4 linked regions of the Schizosaccharomyces pombe genome follow. Each later gene encodes a partner of the first gene's protein in a complex. Each region holds a gene or a part of one and is shown in the gene's direction. Other genes may lie near its edges. The genes, in order: rsc58, ssr2, ssr3 and ssr4.

What was found.
Region 2: rsc58 (region 1) and ssr2 share a complex: the UniProt entries of both Schizosaccharomyces pombe proteins name them as parts of the RSC complex.
Region 3: rsc58 (region 1) and ssr3 share a complex: the UniProt entries of both Schizosaccharomyces pombe proteins name them as parts of the RSC complex.
Region 4: rsc58 (region 1) and ssr4 share a complex: the UniProt entries of both Schizosaccharomyces pombe proteins name them as parts of the RSC complex.

Annotation. Positions count from the first base shown.
Region 1 is NC_003424.3:630,978-634,927, reverse strand, and holds rsc58 (RSC complex subunit Rsc58), read left to right. Parts: upstream 1-1,873; 5' UTR 1,874-2,086; coding exon 2,087-2,429; intron 2,430-2,503; coding exon 2,504-3,372; 3' UTR 3,373-3,417; downstream 3,418-3,950. Other genes in the region: SPOM_SPAC1F3.08C (uncharacterized protein), read left to right, coding at 1,454-1,780; mitotic and meiotic spindle pole body protein, gamma tubulin complex linker-related Spo15, read left to right, coding at 3,625-3,950. UniProt on the Schizosaccharomyces pombe protein: Component of the chromatin structure remodeling complex (RSC), which is involved in transcription regulation and nucleosome positioning. Controls particularly membrane and organelle development genes.
Region 2 is NC_003424.3:2,509,494-2,513,403, forward strand, and holds ssr2 (SWI/SNF and RSC complex subunit Ssr2), read left to right. Parts: upstream 1-1,587; 5' UTR 1,588-1,757; coding exon 1,758-3,269; 3' UTR 3,270-3,353; downstream 3,354-3,910. Other genes in the region: SPOM_SPAC23H3.11C (glucosidase), read right to left, coding at 3,467-3,910. UniProt on the Schizosaccharomyces pombe protein: Component of the chromatin structure remodeling complex (RSC), which is involved in transcription regulation and nucleosome positioning. Controls particularly membrane and organelle development genes.
Region 3 is NC_003424.3:883,994-888,800, reverse strand, and holds ssr3 (SWI/SNF and RSC complex subunit Ssr3), read left to right. Parts: upstream 1-1,548; 5' UTR 1,549-1,628; coding exon 1,629-2,906; 3' UTR 2,907-3,258; downstream 3,259-4,807. Other genes in the region: proteasome regulatory subunit Rpn6, read right to left, coding at 1-774, 820-902, 965-1,140; transcription factor TFIID complex subunit Taf4, read right to left, coding at 3,259-4,356. UniProt on the Schizosaccharomyces pombe protein: Component of the chromatin structure remodeling complex (RSC), which is involved in transcription regulation and nucleosome positioning. Controls particularly membrane and organelle development genes.
Region 4 is NC_003423.3:2,001,791-2,006,395, forward strand, and holds ssr4 (SWI/SNF and RSC complex subunit Ssr4), read left to right. Parts: upstream 1-1,905; 5' UTR 1,906-1,925; coding exon 1,926-2,084; intron 2,085-2,131; coding exon 2,132-2,275; intron 2,276-2,298; exon of another isoform or gene 2,299-2,424; coding exon 2,425-3,309; 3' UTR 3,310-3,594; coding exon of another isoform or gene 3,595-3,925; 3' UTR 3,926-3,965; coding exon of another isoform or gene 3,966-3,991; 3' UTR 3,992-4,072; downstream 4,073-4,605. Other genes in the region: anaphase-promoting complex cullin family subunit Apc2, read left to right, coding at 1-580, 625-1,244, 1,290-1,479; SPOM_SPBP23A10.17 (uncharacterized protein), read right to left, coding at 3,595-3,925, 3,966-3,991; mtm1 (Mn(2+) ion transporter), read left to right, coding at 4,178-4,605. UniProt on the Schizosaccharomyces pombe protein: Component of the chromatin structure remodeling complex (RSC), which is involved in transcription regulation and nucleosome positioning. Controls particularly membrane and organelle development genes.

The DNA of each region.
Region 1 (3,950 bases):
ATCTCGGCGGTTGGCGTATATATTTAATTCTGCTCAAGTCAAGAGTACCTTGGTGTAGCCTGATAGTAACCTCCACAACCAAACGTAAACGATAAAAAAGTAAGCAAACAAGGGTTTAGTTGAAGCCTTCGTTTGCTGAAACCACGCTGCTTCAAAGAAAGGAGTGTCTTAGAAGATGGTGGTAAATCGCAAGACAAAACAAATGTGAGATTTTCATCTAATCAGTTACATATGTCAGTGGGGATTTCATAATGAATGACAACAATCCATGATGTATTTGGAACCAAAGTGACATTCTCACTACAACAAAAGCAGTTCCTTTCCTTTATTTAATGAGCTATTATGAGTTGCAAATTTTCTTAAGTAAACGCTTAGCGTAGAATGTTGACATTTTTTCAAGTATTGATTTTTGCATGTAAATTGTGTGAGAACGTCGATTTCTTTTTTCAATACTTGATTTATTGACGATTATGGTTTCTTCATATAGACATTTTTATCACTTCTTCTATTTATATCGCTGATCTTATGACAAACATAGTCTGAATTAAAATTATACTTCATATGAATTACTGAGCACTACGCTTCAAACATATGTGTATTGCTTTCACTGTGGTGTTTGGTAAACTGTTTTAATCCACCTCTGTTGTATGCTCTTGATCTAGCAGAACCCTTCAAAAAAAATAATTTGAGAAAATTGGCATCCTTTTTTTAGTCTTTGCCGTAACCCGATAATGTTTTCGTTGTTGTTTAGAAAAAATTGTCTTTTAGCAAGTGCTGGGCTATGGAATGTGGAGAGATTGCGAGTTGAAATTTGTTAACTTCTTTATATAAAAACAATGCTAGACTTTGTTTTCAAGAGCATTTCTGCTTCTTTAGCGAGCTAAGTATACGCAGGTACTGCTGTTAACTTAAAGCCATGGTTCAGTGTGTCAAAATATTTAATTTCATCAATTCTCCATCGTCTTTTCTGCTAGAAGATATTTTGATATGGGGGAAAACAAGAGCAAAAACACAAAAAAAAACAATCTTTGTTCTCTGTTCATGCTTTGTTTCTACCAATCGCCGAACTCTGAGCAATTGTGATGCTCAACTTGTTTAGTCGTCTATAAATAGTGTAATATAGACGCATAAAAATAATTTTATTTGAGACATCTATAATGATTCATTTATCAAGTATGTGTGTATATATATACAGTACAGAAATTTCTCTGAATTATCATAAACAAATTGCTATTGCGTACTGCAGTATCTAATAGTTCAGTTTTAAGCATTCCTCGCTAAGATAGGCTTGAAGTTTCGCTTGATCTATTATTCACTTTATGTACTCTATATAGAACTTATTCAGCAAGTTGCATAACATATTGCATAGTAATACATTAAACATTACAAACGCAGCATTAAACGTGCGTTATCACTTTCTAGTTGCTGAGGCTATTACTAGGATATTCAGAACATGGTAATCTACTGCAACTGGTTAGAATTGAAAGGGTTACTCGAAACAAATGATTTCTTATACTTAATGAGGTGTTGCTACATGTATGATACTGTTAGCTTGGTATCAAATGCACCTAACATTTACAGTATACCATTTTTCTATGATCGGATCTGCTACGATTACAAAAACATATTACTAAAATATGAACTTTTTATTATTTATTATTATTATTATCTTCTAATATGCCTATCACCCCATTTCTTTCCGATTAAAAGAATCCGTCCATTTCATGAAAACCCACTCCATTCTTTTGTTTACCGAATAATGATCTCTAGCGAGGCCTAGGGAATTTCGCAGATATCATTCGTTATATCGCCAACATCGAGTGTGCTTCCATCGCCAACGTACTAAAACTTCGGTGCTAGCATAGCTCACATCAACAAGGTAGTCAAAGGTGCAAAGTGAAGAGAACATAATAGATTGTTCCGCGCAAAGTACCTAGGTTGCCCGAAAAAACTAAGACATTACAATTTGCATGGTTTCAAAAAAGAAATTTTTTGGTTTTTATCGATCTGGGCATATTTTGAGTATTTGAAACGCATTACCGTTATCCGGCCTTTTTTGATAGCAATTCGTAAAACAAACTCGGCAATGAATGCTGAAAGTTGCTCCTTAATTCTTTCCTATATCTCTTCTGCACCTGCGGGCAATCTAGTATTGAATTGCACTGCTACCACAAACAAGCAAACCCTCGAGGCAAACTTAAAGTCCGCTGTTTATCAAAGGTACCCAGAGTTTCTAGAAGATTGGACGAATGTATGCGTGCATATAATTCATTCCTACTTTCCAAAAGATGCTGATTATTGGAATGTCGACAAATTATATACATCGGTGAACCGAATTACCACACTCGAACAAAGTAAAGTTGTTGGGAAAGAAATAAAAAATGGCTTCACTTTTGATGCTGAAAATTCAACCGCTTCATTGGAAAATGGTAAGTTAAAATGAAAATGTTTTTCTTTTCTTTTTATTTTTTTTTTATTTATAGACTTTACTAATTTAGTCAAGATTTACAACCACAATTCAGGTCACACGCTTTGTTTATGGTCGGTTCTGCTGGTCCTTTGTTCAGTTCTACTGCTCGAACTTCCCGATTAGACAGTCGATTACCAGATGGAGGAATAATTGCAAAGCCAGTTGCCCTTTTGCCAACTCCATCCGTTGCTAATTCCCAAGAGTACACCTTGGATAAGTTATCCCCCCCCTCAACCGCCAAACCTCCTGCATCAGTTATAGAATTTAATCCTTCATTGGCTAAACTTCCTACTGTGAAGTACCTACAGTCTGGCCCCTTCTCCTCAATTGCTCCTTACAAAAATTCATCTTCTTCTGTTATTCCTGATTCTTCATTTCATTCTGTTGCTTGTTATCGGGCATCTAGTCATTACAAAGAGGCACCTGTCGAGAAGTCAATCGATATTGACATCATTCAAAACAATTTGAGTCTATTAGAAGAAGACTCATGGACTTCTGTACCTATTCAAGGGGAACTTGTTGAATTGAATAAGTTACTACAGCATCTTCAACTGCTTCAAAATCAAAGAATCACATCTCATAACGTACTCTCCGATGAGGAGCGCCAAATATCTGTGCAAGTACAAAACTTGATACTTAAGTTAGCAAAAGATTACGATATGTCTCCAGAAGATTTTCTTATGGACGATTTTACTCTTTCACTCACTCAATATGGCGCCTTTTATCGTGGAACTCTTCCTCTTAGTGCACAACCGCTGGAGCTTCCTTCACAGCAACTGCTACGCTCCCAGTCCAATGCTGCTTTACGGAGCAATTCCCTATCAATGAACGGCTCCTTAAGTCCAAGCTCTACAAATGTTCCTTTACAGTCTTATCGACGGACTACAAAATCACGTAGATGAATTCGTTCTCTATTTCCATGGTGTTACTTAAAGATTTTAGTTTAACTAATTAATAGATGTATATACATACATATATATATATATATTACCTTATTTATATCTCAATATATTGATGTATTTTTGAAACTTTTTTGTTCAACCACCCAAAAGCTAAATACCGATAAAACATGCCGATACCTTATCACTATTGCTTTGTTGCTTCAGAGAGTTGTCATTTCTAAACAACCCAAATCGTTTATTTACCAACGACAGATGTCGAATCAGTCGTCTTCTGGTTCGAATACTTCTGATTTGGATGAAGAATCAGCGAGTAGTCTTGTGAGCTCTGCTGCATCACCATTTATTGATTCTGATCTCGAAACACCAAGACCCAATATTTCAAGAGCTTCAACAGGACAACTTGCAGAAGACGGTGACACATCAAGTCAACATGAAGATTCCTCAGAGGAGTTAAAGCGTCAAGAAGTAAGGGGAATGCGTAGGCACAGTGACCTTTCAATTGATGCGAAATTAGGCTCTTCTGAAGGCTCAACTGCTTCTTCAGCATTACCTTTGACACCTCGTTCTCCTTCTAATGC
Region 2 (3,910 bases), 1.9 Mb from region 1:
CAAAAATACCAAATTGTTGGTGTTGGTGCCACAACTGGGAGATGGTTAAGGTTAACTTTCAAACCATTCCAAAAAATTTACCACTTTAATGGATAACGGAATAAACTGCCAAAATGTTGTGAGCGCCCGGAGTAAGAAATTAGATCCGCCAGGATATAGCAGGCTTTATAATTTGGCAACACATATAATCGCAAAATAATCAAAAAATATCATTTTTCTCTAGCCATATAGTAACCATATATTCTCGAACTATAATTTTATTACTAAGCATCGAACCCAACAAAATTATGCCTTTTTATCAAATGTATACAAATTTTGAGATCAGCATTGTTTATTCTTTTACTATAAAATTATTAATTTAGCGTGAAATAGCTTTCGAAGCAAGATGCAATTTACATTTTTCAAGTTTGCCATTTCGCCGTGATCCTCATCAGTAATTTGTCGGTGAAGGCAAAATTCTGGATTGCTTAGGAAATGAGCAATTTGTACATGTTTATAAAATTCTGTTAACCGAAGCCCGCTTGAAAAAGTTACAATTATAACAGTGGAAGTTTTGCACCTGTAGATAACTTATCGATATCGTTAGATACTTTGAGGCTATTCGGTGAATAATGCCCGCATTCTTTTAGCTGGTTTTTCAGTTTGATAATTAACGAGCGCCGGAAATTTCAAATTTTTCAAGTAAATTGAGTTGGATAGGATTTGAAGGATCACGAAGCTATATTTTAAGGAGTTCTCATCTCCATAAATTACTAAGTACATTGTAAAATGCCGGTTTATAATAAGCCTTGAAATCAATCATACTTAGTAACTGCATTTTGAATGCTAAAATAGAAATATTTTCTTCTTACTGCTGAAGCGGTTTCCGTTAAAAATTGTTCAGATAGTTGCGTTCGCGCTATTTAAAGCAACCTTTATAAATATATTCAAAGCTTGGCAAGATTCTCTTTCGAGCCTTAGCGGAAACTTTGATTTCTAATTGCTCAACTTAATAAAATCGTAAAAAGATCTTATAATTCATTTTTTGCCTTGCAATTGTCGCAAGGGGTCATAGCTCAGTGGTTAGAGTGAGGGATTGCAGATCCCCAGGTCACTGGTTCAAATCCGGTTGGTCCCTTGTTTTTTTCTTATAGAAATTAGATTTTTTCACAAAAAATCAGAAGATTTGTGACAGTTTCAGCTTTTCGACAAAAGTATGTAACTAAGAACAATCATTTTCTAGATGCTTTCTTTTGACTTGAAAACTTGAGTTATCCGAATAAAGTAGAGTGATATTCTAAGAAGGATAGCCCTCGATATATGCGTGTAACAGTCTCAAATGTTCTCTGGCTTATAATATAAGATCGTCAATTTACCATTCGTACCCATAGACCCACCTTATATTCATTCAATTACTACAAATTCTTTTGTTGTATCCATTAACTAACGTAACTTTTTATTAGGAAAAAACATAGTGATAATTAGCGTGTCGAATTAAATATAGCGAAATGGCCTTAATATGTAGTTAAGCTATTGTTTCTTAAAACACGTTTATCAAAATGCACCGTAACTTGTAAATGAGTATAGCCGGACGACTTGTCAACAACTAGTGCTCTAATTTATTAAATGGCAATTGTGCTATTTCTCTTGTATTTATAATTTTTATTATTAAGGCCTCTTTCTTAACTTTTCAAGTGTGTTACAACTTAAAAACAACTTAATTTTGTGGGTATTACATTTTTTTCGTGAGTGGACTATTCAAAAATCAGACCTTCACGATGACTCTCGATCAAGTTCGCATACCCTTTCTGGTGGAACAAACTTATCCCATCATTGTTCCTTCTTATGCAGGATGGTTTGACATGTCGAAAATACACGATATTGAGCGAAGGTCGAATCCCGAATTTTTTAATGGAAAATCTCCTCTCAAAACTCCTTCTATATACAAGGACTATAGAGATTTTATGATTAATTCATATCGTTTAGAACCAAATGAATACCTGACAGTTACTGCATGTCGTCGAAATCTTGTTGGTGATGTTTGTGCTATAATTCGCGTGCATGCATTTCTCGAACAGTGGGGCTTAATTAACTATCAAATCGATCCTGAAACGCGACCTGCATTCCGACTTCCTCCTATTTCAGGACATGTTCAAGCTATTAGTAATACTCCAATCGTCACGCAAGAAATGTTAGCTCAACACCCTCCTCCTAGTACCGTCGGTGGATCTTCGAGCCAAGAATTTGTTAAATTAGAAGAAAAGCATTACAGCCCTAGTTTAAATGCAATGGAACAAACCTCTCCCAAAGAAGAAGATGAAAAAAGCGACAAAGTCCCTCGAGTCGATAAAGTTTGTTTCACTTGCGGTGTTAATTGCTCTCAAACTTGGTATCACAACTTAAAAAACAAAAAATATGACATCTGTCCAAACTGTTATAAACAAGGGAGGTTTTCTTCTTCCTTTAATTCCTCTGATTTTTTGTGCATGGATGCGATTGATTTCAATCACGACGAGGAAAAACCATGGTCTAACCAAGAAACTTTGCTTTTATTAGAAGCTATTGAAACTTATGGAGACGACTGGAATCAAATAGCTTTACATGTTGGATCACGAACTAAAGAGCAATGCTTGATTCATTTCCTCCAGATTCCTATAGAGGATCCCTATCGACAGAAACTTCAGGGTGACTTTTCCCCATTTAAAAAGGGATTTTTGCCCTTTGATGAAAATGAAAATCCAGTTTTAAGTACTTTAACATATTTGGCTTCCATTGTTCAACAAGGCATGAAAGAGCGCAAGCAAAATGAATCAGTGAAACAAGGAGAAACCTCCTTTGGGAATTCCGAGTTTAAAAACCCACTAGAGAGGGTTGCTTATTATGCTTTAAAATCTGCTGCTCAAAAAGCAAAATTGATTGCAGCGTTTGAAAATCGCCAGCTTCGACGCTTGGTTTTTTCGTTAATCCAGGCTCAGCTTGAGAAGTTACAGCTTAAAATGAAGGTGCTTGAACAACTCGAAAAGATGTGTTCTTTAGAATTATCTGAACTCGATCTTCGTGGAAAAAACTTACTACTAAGTCGTTTGTCTACTAAAAAAATGCTTCTTGCGTTTAACAAGAAATTGGAAGAAGCTGTTAATTTGGGCGGTGAAGATGGTTTGAAAATAATTGACGATTTAATGAGTACAGAACATGCAGAAGCATTATTGACATTTGAGATGCCTACGGCAACAACCGTTTCTCCTTTAAGTAAGCAATATCCCGATAAATTTCGTACAATTGCTTTATAAGTTAGGTTCACCAAATTCAAATTTGTATTCTGCATGAAGTTCTTTTGGCTATCTAGTTTTTATAGACATATATATATGTAATCTAAATTTTTTTTTTGAAAAAGAAAAAAAAATGAACATTAAATTCTAATTGTTATATAACTGAAATGCATCTTAAATATATAGATAATTCATATAAAATATGATCATAATGGCAATTAAGTGTTACATTTATGCATTAAAGAATTCTTAGGCCATGTATAACCAGCCATTTCCCAAGTTGTAGCATTTGGATTTTTGTATGCTAACGGATGTTCTTCAATATACTTGGTAGTAGGATAGCCGGGGGGATCACATCCGATATGTGAGTTGGTGTCATCAGGGTCTTGATAGATACGAATGTAATCTATGTACATCACTGCAGGAAATGAAAGATCCCGGAAGTAATAATAAGCCCAATTGTTTGATATTCCAAGGTTGAAAATAATAGACATTGGCTCCTCACTAATTTGACGAGGTCCGACATTTCCATTTTGACCGACGGCGCTGCCAAGCATCGACCAAGTATAGTTTGGACCGACAAACCAAGATACATACCCATTAGTACCTTCACCAGGCTTGTAGTCAAAACCATAAATTTGGAATGCATTTCCTCCATACCA
Region 3 (4,807 bases), 250 kb from region 1:
CCTCAACACGACTAAATGGTTCGACAACACGAAGTAAGTTTTGCTCAAGCAAGTTATCATAGAGACTACTTAAATGAGATCTGATGATTGGATCGGAAGCCAGTTCAGGTTTATAGTCTTGCAAAGCCTTTTCAAAATCAGCCAGGGATCGATTTTCATGAGCCTGAGCAATCGCACGCATAGCTTCAATATCTCTACCAGCGTACCGAATTGCGTGCTTTCCTGTTAATAAAGATTTGACTTCGGAAACAGAATTAAGCATAATTTGAGATAACAACATGTATTTTAAAGATGAAAGGGCTTTTTTATCATCATCAAGCGACGTGAATCCCTCATAAGCCTCATAAAAGTATGAATAAGCAGTCTTGAAATCCATATCGTCAGCATGTAAAATACCACTTTGCAAATCTAAGTTCCCCTGAAGCATCGGAGGGCAATAAACAGCATTAGCAGAAGTTTTAGCAGCTGTTAATGAAGCACGAGCTTTTGGTATATTTCTAATTGCGTGATAAACTTTCGATTCCAACAAATGAACTTCGGTCAAAAGCATTTTGTCGTCCATTCGTTTGAGCTCTGACAAAAGAGTATTAATGAGATTGATGGCATCAGTGTAAGATGAGTTGTCATAATATAAGGAAATTAATTTCGTCTCTAAAGCTTGACGCAAAAATGTACGCTTTTCTTTAATAGCCCATTTGATACAATCGTTAGCAACTTCGATTTGTAAAGGCAAAGACTTCTTTTCGCCAGAGAATTTATCAATTAATGTTCGGACTAAAATGGTGTTAGGTTGTTAACACAATAGACATTGATACTTACCAATTTTAGCAGACTTGGCTTTCGAGAAGTTAGCCATCAGCGGACGACTTTGTTGAACCAACTGAGCCAAATCATTATGGCGACTAGAGAAATAAATGTTAGTTATCTTGAGGCATAACTGTTCCTTTATTTAGAATTTACATACTTTTCACGAACGTATAAATCGCTCAAGTTAGTGAGAGCTTGTTCCTGTTCATTCGCAACTTTTTCGTCTTTACTAACTCCTTTATTAAGAACTTCTTTATACAAATCAATCGCCTTTTCGATATCGTTGCTTTTTACTGCATTGTTTGCTAATTCAAGGCTAGATTTGCTAGACATGATGATGATGGTTATTTCAAAGTGCTTCCAGCATGGAATTATGCGAGAGATGAAGCTACTGCTGGATGGGTAACATTGTAACTTTATATTACAGCAAGTTAGTCAGGTGTGTATATGTATGTGTTTATACTCAAAGTAAAGTTAATAACTAATTATTATAGAAATGATTGTTTTTTTTTTAGTGAAAAATACGTTGATAAACTTGTTAGCGTCGTGAATGAGTGATCAGCAAAGCATCTTATGGTTTCGATATACTAACTGCTTTTATATCGACAACGCTCGAAAATCGAGATACAATTGAATAATTCATATACAAAAGAAATGATATGTAATTCCTAGTATTTCAGTTAACGGTGCTCAGCTGTTGGAAGCAGATAGATACTAAATGGTATTTGGGTCCACCACTTCACGTCCACCAAATATCGAAGATTATTGATCGGTTCGGATTGCCGCATATTTGAGAGGAGCTTGAATAAGGACAGCTTATCATGTCTAATAATAGCCGTTTACCAGAGAATGGTGTACAAAGCGGTAACGGAGAAGACGCAGAGTTGAAGAAGAGTATGAGAATTATTGAAAGAGAAATTCCAGACTCATTGCTTGAAAAAATCCCAGAAGCAGAAGATTATATTGCTCTTCAAGATTTAGAAAGAAAATTGGATTCATTAATCGTTCGGAAACGATTTGATTTACAGGATTCCTTAAGTCGAAACTCTCACAAAACCAGGATTCTTCGTATGTACATACATTCCACTGTTGCGAATCAATCATGGCAACAAAAGGGAGAAAATCAAGAGAATAATTCTGGCGACATTAACTCCCTTCCCATACCTGAATGGACTCTCCATATTGAAGGTAGACTACTCGTTAATCCTGACGACGAAGACGATAAAGCTTTTGAATTAGCACCTTTCACCAACTTTTTCCGTAAAATTGCTATCCAAATTTTACGATCAGATGATCTCTATCCTAGTGGTAATTATGTTGAATGGAATAAACTTCCGGATAACTCTAATACATCTAACGGCATTACCGTTACGAGAAAAGGCGACCAATCCGTAGATGTCAAAATTATGTTATACCCTGAAGAGCATCCTGAACGATATAAACTTTCAAAAGCCTTTGCTAATATACTGGGTATTCGTGAGGGCACTCGTCCTGACATCGTTAGCTACCTTTGGCAATACATCAAGTTCCATCGCTTGCAAGACATGGAGGAGAAAAGATTAATTAACTGTGATAAGGCATTAAGGGATTTATTTGAAGCAGATCGTCTTTACTTCCCTAGAATTCCTGAGCTTATGAATAGATTTCTCGAACCTATTGATCCCATTGTTATACCGTATACCATTAATGTCAGTGAACATACTGTTGAAAAAGTTACAATTTTTGATATCCGTATCAACACGGAAGATCCTAGGCACAGCCAAATTCGCTCTTTCCTTGCTACGATGATGTCGCAAGATAAAATCAGAAGTATTGACGATAAGCTTACCGAGTTAATTCAAGCTATCACTTACTCACAGTCGAAGTATGATTTCATGAAGAAATTTTCGGAGAGTCCAATTGAATTTATTAACGAATGGATTGAATCCCAGAGCCGAGATTTAGAAATCGTTTTGGATGGCACAAATATGAATTATGCAGAAAAAAGAAGTGCTGATTATTATCAACAACCCTGGGTACATGAGAGTGCATTTCATTATCTTAATTTACTAAATAGCAAAAAGCAGCAAAGCGTTTTAAATGCTTCTGCTAAGAAGTGATAGACTATTACTACGTTACCAGTAGAAAGCAACGGTATATTCCTGCGTGTGTCACAAACGTGTATATTATTTACAAATTAAAAAAAAATTACATATAACCAGAATAAAAAAAAGAGCTTATTCTTCGTTTCATTTAAGAAAAATACATCATAGGAAATCCAAAATTGATTTCGATAGAACAAAACATTGTATTCCGCCTGACTTGACCTAATGCAATTATCGTGTTTAAAAAGTCATCGGTTGTCCTGAACAATAATCCACTCAAATAGGAGGAAGGGGTTTTATAAATGAATCCCCGAGATAAATAAATGAGTTAGTCATAACTTTTTAAGGCCATATTAAATTCATAAGTTTAATCTTTTAGCCTAATGTAAGCACGCATCATTGCCTTAGCACCCCTACCAAAAATACGCCCAGCACCTTCTCTATCCATTTCAAGAACCGCTAATGCGTCCCTAATAGTAATTATACCTTTTTCTTCTTGTTGTAAGGGCAAAACACCATCACGGGAGGAGGGCTTAAGAGAATTAGAATCCTTTTTCCGAATACCAAATCCACCTCCAACTGCAGGAGTCATTGGAGTCATATCAGTTGCCATCCACGAGTACTTTTTACCACCGGATGGTAGTGCACTACCAGCCATGATGCTTGCAGTAGCGTTAGTCATTCTGTTTTGCGCATCTTCAGATATATTTTTTGCTGCAGCGGAAGAGCTTTGTTCTTTTCTACGTCGACTCGATCCTTCTTCATTAGTGGAAGCCGAATTAAGTTCAGCCAAACGAGCTTCATGCTCTGCTCTACGAATATTCAATACTGTACGTCTTCTCTCCTCACTTTCGTACTCCTTATAAGCAAAATTGGCAAGAGTCTGGCGCACGTTGTCAACTTGTTTGTAATTATCAGTATGCAACTGTGAAGTCCGGTGATGGCTTTCAACAATCATTTTTTGCAACAAATTTGCCAGATAATCACGGACTGCCATAGATATTAGAGCATGAATATCAGAATCCATGCTTTTTAAACGATGTAAGTTTACAATGTTGCTAACTGTTTGCATCAACACAAAAGAATTTAAGAAGTCTGACTTTCTTGAACGGTCTTCGGTAGTAAGCGCGAATGTATTTAGAGATGAAGGGTCATAAAAGGAAGTAGACAAATTCAATTCCTCTTCTTTTAATTGAATACCACATGAAATAAGAGCATCCTGAAGCTGATCTGCCTCTTGCCTGTCGCCGCCGCTTGCCACTCCAACGCTTGATGATACATTATTTGGTCGTGGAGATGCATAATGTAATTTTCCAGGCCCTGAATTAGGATTTTGGGTATAAGAAGGTTTTCGATTACCTAAATAACCTGGAATTTCTGGATACTCTTCATTTTTGGGGCGTTTGTTAGCAGGAATATCATCGTCATCTCCAAAGCGTTTTGAAGGAGGATTATTTAAATCCATGAAAGAATACTACTACAATAACTATGCTTAATATTGTATTAAAAATGTTGGTAGTTATCAATACGTTCTTTACTAGCAAGTTTAGGAACTTAAGATTAAACCCTTACCTTTCCCTATTACCGATTTATAACGAATACACTGTATTTTTTATTGGGCAAGGTAACGAGAGGCTCTTTAAGAGGCTTATATCGATCTTTATTTTCAAGATCGCTTTCGAGCTTGTAGCAGATAAACTTATACCCAACCTCTATTGTAATTCCAAGATTTCCATAAGCATAAATAGTACACTGATTCAATTGTGCGTGTAAACACTTGTTAAAAGAAATCAGTTCTTAATAGACTTGTCCATTGAAGTCTGATTAAAGGTTCAGGATAATCTTAACTATCGTCGGACAAAGTCTTCAAAACATCTTCAAATGTTTTTACATTTGTAAGAATATTGTTAGTGAAA
Region 4 (4,605 bases), on another chromosome or scaffold:
TCATTTGCGATCAGACAACATTCTTGATATTGTTCTTCATTACCCCAATTCACTAGGCGCAATTGAAGACTTGCGTTTAGTTGCCCGTCAAAAACAGCAACGTCAATATTTAACCGAAACTTTTGTGAAAGATTGTACAAGTAGTATTTTGACCGCTAGCAGTGATAGCTCCTATATTCTTTTGTTCTATGTCTCTACCATTCGTTGTTTTGTTGCATTAGACCCCCCTGGTGTTCTTTTAGACAAAGCTGCCAAACCCATTCGTTCTTTTCTAAATGAACGAGAAGATGCATATAAATGCTTGGTTTCCTTATTGTTTGTTGACGGTGAAAAAGGCCTACGCTCTGAGCTTTCTCAAATTCCCACTGAAAACATCGACTCAACAACGGATCGATTTGATAATTACCACTGGATGCCGGATCCGATTGATGCGGCTCCTGACTTTAAAAAACCAACCGATAGAGACGTTGTTGGAAGTCTCATTTCCATTTTTAAAAGCAAGGAGCCCTTAGTGAAGGAATTACAATTGTTACTAGCTGATCGACTTTTACAACTTACAGATTATCATTATGAAGTTGAGGTTTGTTTTATTCTATTTAAGTTGAATTTTCTAACGTTTTTTAGGCAAAAAATATAGAGTTTTTAAAGTATCGATTTGGAGAGACTGTTCTGCAAATGTGTAGTGTTATGCTGAACGATATTGAGAATTCAAGATTTATTGATCAGAGCATCCACATGGAGAACTATGTTTCGAAAGGTTTGCACGTAACTATTTTATCAAGATTATTTTGGCCTACTTTGTCTGTTCGATATTTTCATTTACCTGGCCCTCTGAAAAAAGAACTCGATGCATATGCTGAAGAATACAGAGAAAGAAAGAGAAAAAGGGAGCTTGTTTTTTTACCCAACTTAGGATCGGTAGAGTTGGAAATTGAGCTTGAGGATAGAACACTCACGTTGACAGTTACACCGGAGCAAGCTGCCTTTATATCACTTTTTGAAGAGACTTCTACATTACATATTGAGAAAGCTGCTGAACTTTTAGATCAGCCGAAAGAAATAGTTGAGCGACATTTGAAATTTTGGCTTCATCATCGAGTGCTTACCGACATCGGCGACGACCGATATCGTGTTCGTGAAACTGAAGCCGAAACCGCGACAGAAACTGTACTTGATGAAATCCAAGGGGTATCAGCTGTTCAAAGTGAAGCCGAAAGCAGTGCCGCTGAGATGCGTGTTTACTGGTATGTTTCTTTATTAAAACTAAAATTTGTAATTAATAAAAAAAGGTCTTTTGTTGTAGGAATGTTGACGAACCTTGGAGCTCTTGAGCTTGAACGAATTCACAACATGCTCACGATGTTTATCCCACCGCCAAACGGCTATACTCGTACCCAGAGCGAGCTAAGAGAATTTCTAGCATTAATGATCAAAGAGGAAAAGTTGGAGTTTACTGGAGGAGCTTATAAGCTCAAATAATTAATGGCTATAGAATCCTTTGTCTGTTAAGAAAAGCCTTGGGATTTTTATGAACTTTTTTATGGACATCTCATTTAATTTTACGAAAACCATCACTTATACATTGCATGTCTATTGGCATATTGTCTACTAATGATTAGCAGCTAACTGTTACTATTTAAGTATGTCTTTACATTCATGCTCTTGTTTAGCTATTTACGATTCTACGATGGTTAAACGGATCTGATCAAGATAGTTGTAATGAACACAGAGACACTAGAGTATGTTTATACATTACCTAGAGTTTCGTATAGATACTGTAAATATTAGAAATTTCATTTAAACAGTGAAAACTGATGTAACATCGTTATATGAAATAGTGCAACAGAACAAAGCCAAAACTTCTGCATCTTGATAGATATGAGTAAGTTGTACCATCCAAAACTTACATATAATTAAAATCAACAATGGCGGCTACAATGGCAGCTCAGAGTCTATTATCGATTCCAGTGGAATACCGATCTCAGGTATGGTGTCGAGCGAATTTACCATATCCACCAGCACCACAATTACCAATCCCTGCTGTCGTAGATATATTAACAAAAGCGTCCCAGGCTTTACCACAGGTAGTTTTTAGAAGACTTCAATATATGTTTTTTCTAACAAATTTTAGATTTCATTTTCTTGGACTCTCATAGATCAACCACCAGATGGTTCCTTGTTTTTAGTTTGGCAAGCACCTACATTACCATCTCCACCAGATGGAATGCATTTTATGAGCAATGAAAGGTTTTTTAATATGGACGTTGCAGGAAAGGTAAGTTGCTCACAAGCACTGCGGTATAAGGGATCATTAAGCAATTGTCTAGGAACTTGCATATGTGTATCCCCGTTTATTTTAAAATAAATGCTTCAAATAAATTATTATTTTACTGAATTTATAAGTTTACTAATACAATACGATAGGTACTAGAAATTCATGAAGCAAAACACGGTTTTTATCCACTATCTGAAACTCGAACTATGCATGTTAGATGCCGATATCGATTATTAGGAGTTGGTTTTGATAATTTTTGGCTTGTACACTATTTTCAAGGTTCAGAAACTGATAGCATTCCTGCGAATATATCAGTTGCCAAACCACCTCATTTACGACGATACCCTTTACCAGACGTTAAAACTTCTCCATTTTTGCTTCAAGAACCAAAAAAACATATTCCAGAAGGTACAGCTTTATCACAGAGAGAAACCTTGCCAAATATGGGATCTGCTCAGATGAAGTCCCAATCAAGGACTCCATCGTTCTCTAATGTTACTACGTCTCCTGTTCCTCCTATCAATTCTAATGCAACAGCACAGACTGCAGAAGGACACATGGGTGCAACGAATATGACAGTCGATAACATGAACAAGCCATCCATTCCTCCAAATGGCAATACTTCAATTCTAATGCAAGAGGATTTAGAGATTGAAAAGGGTGATGTTATGGATAAACTTTCTCCGCAACAAATTTGTACGGCTCGATTTATCAAACACGCAGAATGGATGAGTCAAGTACTTTTGACACTTCAATCAGTCAAAGACATCGAACCTCCAGCACTATGGCAAGAACCTAATTCAATGGAAGAACTTGGTAAAGAGTTGAAAGATAACAAGGAGCAACTTGTAAAACAAGATCAGAAGTATCAAAGTCTCCAAGGTGATCTTTCCTACACTGATAGCATGTCCAACTTATTAAAAGAATTTTCCAACATCAAGTCGGCAGAAGAATGTGATGTCTTACAAAAAAAAATTGAGGAGTTCGCTGAAGCCAAAATCGTTCCTTTAAGTCACGTTACGGAAAGATCATAGAAGATTTAAAGTGTAGTATAGAAAAAACATGTTGAGGCTAATCAGAAAGAAGATTTGAAAAGTACGTACGTCCTACTTTAAAGCCTTGTCGCTTAATGATAGAATGCCATTGTCATTAGGGTAAACAAACAAGCACTGATATTCCTACATCGAATTTTTTTACCTTGTTTTAGGAGGATTGGGTGAAGGTGACAGAAAAATGAAATATTTTATAATGACAGGTAGATAGTTAAGAGTATGGTTCCGAATAATTTCATACATAGTATAAGGACGATGCGCTTCATATCAAAACTGGAATTTTGTTTGCCGATCTTCAACAAGCTTATTTAGTACTTCCCCTAGAGTCTTTTGTTTTTCCAGTAGTTCCAAGTATTCAACACGCATTGTCTGGAACATAGCCTTCCATTCGCTTTCCTGAATTTCCCAACTACTTTTTTTGACACAGCTTGACTCTAATTCTTCAATCTTTTTTTCTATTTTCTTATAAAGTTGTTTATCAGTTTCTAACGCTTCAGTTGCAGTTAAGAGCTCGTCTTTGTTCTGTTTACTGGTGGAAATCAATGCCTGGACCCCGGCAGCATAGCTCAAACTCGCACCTGCAAGAAACCCTACGATTCTAATAATTAGCAAGTAGTAATAGGCATATCATCACACACCCACTTCGTAGATACGACATCTTCATTCAATTGACTGTTCTAAGTACCATAGCCGTTTCTACCTTATTAAGACAGAACTCTCAGACCAGATATATGATAGTGCATTGCATAACGTTATTTGGTTTAATGAAGTTTAACTACGACTTCGTAGATGAAAGGACGGTGCTTCGTAATGAAGATGACAGGAACACAAACAGAGTCAGAGAGAATACATGCAGATAGGAGCTGCGACAGAAGGCGTAGAAGCTGACTTGTCGGTGAATGCTGAGCCCGATGTGAAGCCTATAGCGAAAATGCTGTCAGCTTGTGTAGGAAGTGTAATTACAACGCTGACTGTAACGCCTTTAGATGTTGTGAAAACCCGCTTGCAGAGTGAATCTATTTCTCAATATTCTTCTACGCAACCCATTTCTTCAGCAAAGATATTGGGGAAGGGAAGGCCAGCTCCAAAGCCTTTAGGAGGCCCGGTATCCGGACTTTATCAGATCGCTCGGCATGAAGGTGTTAGAAGCTTGTGGCGTGGATTAGTTCCTTCATTGACAATGCTCTTGCCAGCAAACACTGTACAGTTTCTTGGGTATGAGCAATTACTTCCCTTATACAGTGATTGGGGCTTTCCTGCTGCTGCTGCAATCGCAGG